Xenopus tropicalis: one gene and its partner. The main gene of each other region encodes a partner of the protein of the gene in region 2 in a complex. Links are inferred from orthologs where the notes say so. Each region holds a gene or a part of one and is shown on either strand. Other genes may lie near its edges.

The links. The genes of interacting proteins can lie anywhere in the genome.
Region 1: tada3 (region 2) and supt7l share a complex: the UniProt entries of both Homo sapiens proteins name them as parts of the STAGA transcription coactivator-HAT complex. The link is inferred for Xenopus tropicalis from reciprocal best matches to the Homo sapiens genes TADA3 and SUPT7L.

Annotation. Positions count from the first base shown.
Region 1 is NC_030681.2:5,371,949-5,376,135, reverse strand, and holds the start of supt7l (STAGA complex 65 subunit gamma), read left to right. Parts: upstream 1-1,387; 5' UTR 1,388-1,404; intron 1,405-3,334; 5' UTR 3,335-3,455; coding exon 3,456-3,868; intron 3,869-4,187. Other genes in the region: slc4a1ap (kanadaptin), read right to left, coding at 1-1,216.
Region 2 is NC_030680.2:138,580,975-138,585,262, forward strand, and holds the start of tada3 (transcriptional adapter 3), read right to left. Parts: upstream 2,801-4,288; 5' UTR 2,613-2,800; intron 2,513-2,612; 5' UTR 2,371-2,512; intron 411-2,370; 5' UTR 393-410; coding exon 186-392; intron 1-185. UniProt on the Homo sapiens protein: Functions as a component of the PCAF complex. The PCAF complex is capable of efficiently acetylating histones in a nucleosomal context. The PCAF complex could be considered as the human version of the yeast SAGA complex.

The DNA of each region.
Region 1 (4,187 bases), on a different chromosome or scaffold from region 2:
GAATGGCAGGGCAGGTTCGGTAGGCATCAGAGGGAAGCCTGGCATTGCCATCCGTGGGCGTTTCAGCGCTGGGGGTCCTGCTGCAAGTTGGGGCCGAAGGCTGTGAATGGACGACTGGTTTGTCCCTTGGCTGAGCTGCCTTTTCAGTGCCACTCGGGCGGGCAGCAAAGATGGGTTTCTTAAAGGATTCTGTGGTCCTGGCATCATCGGGCCCCTCCATGGGACTGTCCCTGGGCGCACTGCAGCCAGAGCCTCCATCCTTACTGGGAGTCCTTGAGGCAATCTCCCCATAACTGGGCCTGGGACTAGGTTGTTTCTCTGGAGTGGCCCCTGCAGAATCGGGGCCCGTGGAACTGATGCCCCTGGGTGAACTGGATTCCTTGGGGGTGCTGGCCCCAGAAGCATTGGAGTGTTCATCCTCATTGGTCCAGGAGCTGGACTGCCCCTCCCCATGGGATTGGGTAACATGGGGCCCCTGGGATTGGCTATTATCGGGCCCCTTGGGGGTAACATGGGACCCCTGGGATTGGGCATTATTGGCCCCCCGGGATTGGGTATTATTGGGCCCCTGGCATTGGGTAACATGGGACCCCTCAGATTGGGCATGATTGGGCCCCTGGCATTGGGCATGATTGGGCCCCTGGCATTGGGCATGATTGGGCCCCTGGCATTGGCTATCATTGGGCCCCTTGCATTGGGTAACATGGGACCCCTCAGATTGGGCATGATTGGGCCCCTGGGACTGGCTATCATTGGGCCCCTGGGACTGGCTATCATTGGGCCCCTGGGACTGGCTATCATTGGGCCCCTGGGACTGGCTATCATTGGGCCCCTGGGACTGGCTATCATTGGGCCCCTGGGTGGGCCTGGAATCCCGTTGGGTTTCTGCACTGGTCCCTGTACAAGAGGAACTCTCATGCCTGTGGCCCCCAAGCCCCTCATGGCTATCCCTGACCCCCCTGGAACAAACATTCTTGGGGCCCTCGCTGCCCCCGGCCCCCTCACCCCCACCCCTCTCAGCAACCCCGGGCCCTGGAGTGGGGGCCCCATTGGCAGTATCGGTCGGGCCCCCGGTACTGGGAGGTTCCCCGGCAGCGCTCCCCCCTTGCCCATTATCCCCGGCCCCAGGGGCCCCCGTATCCCCGGCTTCCAAGGCAGCGGCCCCGGGATAACTGGCCCGTTCCCTGCCATCCGGGTCATGTGCAAGGGCCTCCATGTATCCAGCGCCACTTTCACCGGTTCGGGAGGAGAATCCGGAACCCACGGTACGTTATCCCGCTACAAACACCACAGAGCGGCCCGCAGCTGCTTCCGGTCTCATGGAGGCGCCTGTTGATGAGATCACTTCCGGCGTGCCCCCCCCCCCCAGTCTGGGACACAGGGAAACCGGACTGACTGTGTGAGGTAATGGGGGGCTCCTGGGGGGCTGTTCTGCCCCAATAAGGGGTAATTATATCTTAGTTGGGATCAAGTACAGGTACTGTTTTATTATTACAGAGAAAAGGGAATCATTTAACCATGAAATAAACCCAATAGGGCTGTTCTGCCCCCAATAAGGGGTAATTATATCTTAGTTGGGATCAAGTACAGGTACTGTTTTATTATTACAGAGAAAAGGGAATCATTTAACCATGAAATAAACCCAATAGGGCTGTTCTGCCCCCAATAAGGGGTAATTATATCTTAGTTGGGATCAAGTACAGGTACTGTTTTATTATTACAGAGAAAAGGGAATCATTTAACCATGAAATAAACCCAATAGGGCTGTTCTGCCCCCAATAAGGGGTAATTATATCTTAGTTGGGATCAAGTACAGGTACTGTTTTATTATTACAGAGAAAAGGGAATCATTTAACCATGAAATAAACCCAATAGGGCTGTTCTGCCCCAATAAGGGGTAATTATATCTTAGTTGGGATCAAGTACAGGTACTGTTTTATTATTACAGAGAAAAGGGAATCATTTAACCATTAAATAAACCCAATAGGGCTGTTCTGCCCCCAATAAGGGGTAATTATATCTTAGTTGGGATCAAGTACAGGTACTGTTTTATTATTACAGAGAAAAGGGAATCATTTAACCATGAAATAAACCCAATAGGGCTGTTCTGCCCCCAATAAGGGGTAATTATATCTTAGTTGGAATCAAGTACAGGTACTGTTTTATTATTACAGAGAAAAGGGAATCATTTAACCATTAAATAAACCCAATAGGGCTGTTCTGCCCCCAATAAGGGGTAATTATATCTTAGTTGGGATCAAGTACAGGTACTGTTTTATTATTACAGAGAAAAGGGAATCATTTAACCATTAAATAAACCCAATAGGGCTGTTCTGCCCCCAATAAGGGGTAATTATATCTTAGTTGGGATCAAGTACAGGTACTGTTTTATTATTACAGAGAAAAGGGAATCATTTAACCATTAAATAAACCCAATAGGGCTGTTCTGCCCCAATAAGGGGTAATTATATCTTAGTTGGGATCAAGTACAGGTACTGTTTTATTATTACAGAGAAAAGGGAATCATTTAACCATTAAATAAACCCAATAGGGCTGTTCTGCCCCCAATAAGGGGTAATTATATCTTAGTTGGGATCAAGTACAGGTACTGTTTTATTATTACAGAGAAAAGGGAATCATTTAACCATTAAATAAACCCAATAGGGCTGTTCTGCCCCAATAAGGGGTAATTATATCTTAGTTGGGATCAAGTACAGGTACTGTTTTATTATTACAGAGAAAAGGGAATCATTTAACCATTAAATAAACCCAATAGGGCTGTTCTGCCCCAATAAGGGGTAATTATATCTTAGTTGGGATCAAGTACAGGTACTGTTTTATTATTACAGAGAAAAGGGAATCATTTAACCATTAAATAAACCCAATAGGGCTGTTCTGCCCCCAATAAGGGGTAATTATATCTTAGTTGGGATCAAGTACAGGTACTGTTTTATTATTACAGAGAAAAGGGAATCATTTAACCATGAAATAAACCCAATAGGGCTGTTCTACCCCCAATAAGGGGTAATTATATCTTAGTTGGGATCAAGTACAGGTACTGTTTTATTATTACAGAGAAAAGGGAATCATTTAACCATTAAATAAACCCAATAGGGCTGTTCTGCCCCAATAAGGGGTAATTATATCTTAGTTGGGATCAAGTACAGGTACTGTTTTATTATTACAGAGAAAAAGGAAATCGTTTTTAAAAATTAGCATTATTTGCTTATAATAGAGTCTATGGGAGATGGCCTTTCCGTGATTCTAAACTTTCTGGATAAGGGATCCCATATCTATTTTCTCACTGTACTTTTTGTTACTTTGCGCCATGCAGGTGATTAATATAAGAGAAGCGGCTGATGCGGCAGAGAGAGGCCCAGAATGACAGAGATATCATAGCTGAATGAGAGTCCATTGATTGTGTGACTATAATCACTGACACAAAGAGAGGGAAGATGATGCGCTATTGGGGCGAGATCCCAGTCTCCTCTGGGCAGGCCAATAGAAGCTCCTTTGATCTCCTGCAACGCGAGTTCCGAACGGTGGAAATGCAGGAGCCTCCCCTACACCAGCCATCGGCCAATAAGCCCCGGCCTACCACTATGCTGGACATTCCCTCTGAACCCTGCAGCCTGACTATCCACACCATTCAGCTCATCCAGCATAACCGCAGACTGCGGGGCCTCATCGCCGGCGCTCAGGCTCAGAACCAGCAGCAGGTGGAGGGTATGAAGGTGGAGGAGAGCGAGCCTTTACCCCTCAGGCCTACCTCTCCTGCCCTCCCAGAGGATCTGCTGCCCCAGGACTGTAAGGTCCCCAAGCTGCCATTCCAGATTCGGCACAGCGACCCTGAGAGTGAATTCTACAGGTATTATATCGTACTTCTTGTGTCTGCAGCCCTGTACATTAAGGTGTATATTTATCATGTTGTGTAAAAAGTGAAGTAAAACATTACCAGTGATGTTGCTCATAGCAGCCAATCAGATCAGATGATTTGTTTGCTGTTGAAATCTAATAGCTGATTGGTTGCCCTGGGCAACATCACCAGTAATGCTTCACTCCACTTTTTACAAAGCATGATAAATATACCCCTAAAGGTACGTCTTTGTGCCTCGCAGTGGGAGGTACCTGAACCTTCTAATGGCAGCTTTTTAAGTGGAGGAGCAGGGAGTTTGTGATTCAAGAAG
Region 2 (4,288 bases):
ACAATAAATATAACGGGCAGCATATGCAGCATTTTGCCATCTGAAGATTTATACCAACTCAAACCTATAGACATTCCTACTGGGCATGAAACCCTCCTACACAAGGGCATATTCCTTCATGCCAAGTACACTGGGCAGCCACTGCTGAGGGACGGGTGCTCTACATTTAACCCCCTGATTTTTACCTGGGTCTCCGCTTCCAGAACACGGAGCCTCCTGCTTGCAGAGGACAGTAGGGTTTCCAGCTCCAGCTGAAGGGTATCCAGCTCCTCAATCCCGATTCCGTCATCCTCGGAGCGGGACAGAACTGCGGTGTATCTGGGGCACAACTTGACATGGTCCACAGATTTGAAGTCATGGAACTGGAGAGGGCAATCCTTTAACTCGCTCATTCTGCCAAGGCTGGCGGCCTGCAACAAAGAATAATACAAAAGGTTAAGATAATTTTTTTTTTAGAATACAACCTCTGCATTATTTGAGTGCAAGCCCTTTTTCTCTATTTAGTGCGCTGAAGAATCTACTGTTGGACCTAGGCCAACTCCCATCAGCCCCTTATTTCCACCTAGCCATATACAACACCTATAACATTGTTTTGTTTTAAAAGGGGGCCCTATGGAGGGCCAAGTCTGACCCTGGTCTAATATGATACACCAGCAAAAATGCAAGAGCTCAAAAATCCCCCCTCTGAAATAAACAGCGAATCCCTTCTTAAACCTAGAATACATGCATATGTTGCACCAACACAAATGTATGCAACCATACTCTGCAGCACCAATAGGCAACAAGCCATACCACATGTGCATACTGTTCACCAATGCTGTAATGCAGGTGAATGCGGTACCCCCAATACACTAAGATGAATATATCATCTATACTCTGCAGCACTAATGCACGTGTATATTGTTCTGTACCCCAAAATACCAGGACTGTCTGTGCACCTATAGCCTGCAGCACTAATGCATTTGTATATTGCAGCCTTCATACCCTGCAGCACTAATACATGTGTATATTACAGCCTTCATGTACCCATACCCTGCAGCACAAATGCATTTGTATATTTTAGCCTCCATACCCTGCAGCACTAATGCATGTGTATATTGCAGCCTCCATACCCTGCAGCACTAATGCATGTGTATATTGCAGCCTCCATACCCTGCAGCACTAATGCATGTGTATATTGCATCCTCCATACCCTGCAGCACTAATGCATGTGTATATTGCATCCTCCATACCCTGCAGCACTAATGCATGTGTATATTGCAGCCTCCATACCCTGCAGCACTAATGCATGTGTACATTGCAGCCTCCATACCCTGCAGCACTATGCAGCACTAATGCATGTCTACATTGCAGCCTCCATACCCTGCAGCACTAATGCATGTGTATATTGCAGCCTCCATACCCTGCAGCACTAATGCATGTGTATATTGCAGCCTCCATACCCTGCAGCACTAATGCATGTGTATATTGCAGCCTCCATACCCTGCAGCACTAATGCATGTGTATACTGCAGCCTCCATACCCTGCAGCACTAATGCATGTGTATACTGCAGCCTCCAAACCCTGCAGCACTAATGCATGTGTATATTGCATCCTCCAAACCCTGCAGCACTAATGCATGTGTATATTGCATCCTCCATACCCTGCAGCACTAATGCATGTGTATATTGCAGCCTCCAAACCCTGCAGCACTAATGCATGTGTATATTGCATCCTCCAAACCCTGCAGCACTAATGCATGTGTATATTGCATCCTCCAAACCCTGCAGCACTAATGCATGTGTATATTGCAGCCTCCAAACCCTGCAGCACTAATGCATGTGTATAGTGCAGCCTCCATACCCTGCAGCACTAATGCATGTGTATATTGCAGCCTCCATACCCTGCAGCACTAATGCATGTGTATATTTTAGCCTCCATACCCTGCAGCACTACTGCATGTGTATATTGCAGCCTCCATACCCTGCAGCACTAATGCACAGCCAGCTGTAATGGCCGGCCATACTGTACCCCAATGCCCCAGTACTATTGATAAGTGCACCCATACCCCCAATGCACAACAGGCTATAGGGCAGGTGTATACTGTATGCCTATGCAGGAGCAGTAACACTATGCACCTGTGCCCTGGGGTAGGGGTTATTACTAATAACCCCTTATGTACAGGTAACTGCTCTCCAGTTGCTGCAGAACTGGCGCTTTGCGAAAGGGGCGGCTGGGAGTTGTAGTCCTATTCTATTACAGCAGGGGAGTAAACGTATTTAGTAGCCTATGGCTACCAAATGACGCATTGTTACAGGTACTCTCCGCATATAACGCAAGCACTGAGCCCCCACGCACGGTATATACCGACACCACACAATATGCCCGTACCCACACTCCGGCCTGGCCCCCTCAATGGATCCTGCTCCTGCGCTCGTTTCCTTTGTCTCCCAACGGCCAGTAGGGGGCAGAGCCAAGCTCCTCACGCAAGGCCGCCACTGTCACCGCCTGTCAGTCACCCGGGAGCGTACCACTGCGGAAAAACAAATAGGGGTGTCAGTAAATGGGGAACAACTAATAAGGCTGGAATAGGCCGTTGAGCACAATAACCCGTTCTTAGGGAACGTTCTTACCACAAGCGCCTAATGGGTTCACGTCCACAAGGCACAATCTCTTTTAAGCACCCATTTTGTGCCCCGATGGAATCAACCATAGAGAAGAATCGTACTTGGCGCGCAATGGCGGCATTGGGAAGGCTTAGCCTGTGGGCTCCCGTAGTATTACTATTGATGTGCAGCTGTGATAGATCCGCAGGTATCTGGTATCATAAGCCTCTAGCAGTCGTGATAACAATCTCTCTCATGAATACCTTGTAAGAAATTTCTCCCGGTCGCTCATGTTCTGTTTGTACACCCCCTAAACCCCACTTTGGTCTGACCCGCCTGCATTCCACATTCCCTAATATGGCGTGAAGCGGGGCGAGCCGGACCATTTTCAAGAGGAGGGTGCACACCGGGTAAATTCATATAGTATTGCTTTTTATACGTATATGAGAATAATAATGTAACAAGAACGGAACTGAGATATGCTTATGTGTATATCCACAGCCCAAGCGGCTAAATTAATCTACATGGTTTAAGTATAAATGTTCGCCCAACCCCAGTTTATGATGGTTTAGTCCGACCGCTGGCTGTGCCAGTGAGGGGGAAGAGAGGTAGTGCGCATGTGCGAGTCTGTCACTTCCGCTATCGGGGGATACCGGAGCGATGGTGAGTGTGAGGGGCGGGGGGTTTTACGGAGAAATTGACACGAAAGAGCGACAACAGTCCGGGATAGAGAACCGGGCTATAGGCCGCCTGTGTTTGCCATGCTAAGCCCGTGGGTCGAGCAGGGAGCGGTGCAGGGGCGGCTTAGGGAACCGGTCTTGGGCGGGGGCCCGGCGTAGGAATGTTCATAAGACGCGGTGTATTCCTTACATTCATACAGTGATCCCTCTGTAATACTAAGGAAGACTGTGCGGAACTACAACTAAACGTCCTTCCCATAGGGGATTAAGCGAATCCCTCCATAGGCATTGCCTGCCTGACATCTGTATAGTGAGAGCTGCAGTTCCGCAACACTCGCCCAACCTGTAACTGCCTGTTGGCACTGCCACCGGCGGGACTTTCATTTTATTCAGCTTTAAGGCAATGTATGTGCTAGTGAGAGCGGGGTTTGCTCCATTCTCTCTGATTCCTGCACTGCCGGCTCTCACTATTGACACTTTGTATCTGAAGCCAGCTGAGGCATTGCCCATACACGCAGCAGGAGAGCTTGGCTTCTGCTACATTGTTGTAAGAGTGAGAATAACCTTGATTGCTTTTTAATTGCAATGACTGCTAATAGACAGTTGGCTAGGCAACATTTCAATTCTGGGATTACTTCCCCTTTAAAATATGTGGGTGTCTTTACTGGAGCAAGAACTGTCCTTTGGGCAGGTTGTGAGTTTCTACTTATGATTGACTGGTTTTGTTTATTTTCTTATCACTGGCTTGCCCATAGCACTTGTGTATCTTGAGCAGGGATCCCCAACCTTTTTGTTTTTACCTGTGAGCCACAGTCAGATGTAAAAAGAGTTGGGGAGCAACACAAGCCTAAAAAATGTCAATCCAAATATAGAGGAGAGCACCATAAAGCAGAATTCTGCTCAAATGCTATTTATTTCAGACCAAAATACACAACATGTTTCGGGCAATGTGACGCCGTTTTTTACTTGATAAAGGGCATCACATTGCCCGAAACATGTTGTGTATTTTGGTCGGAAATAAAT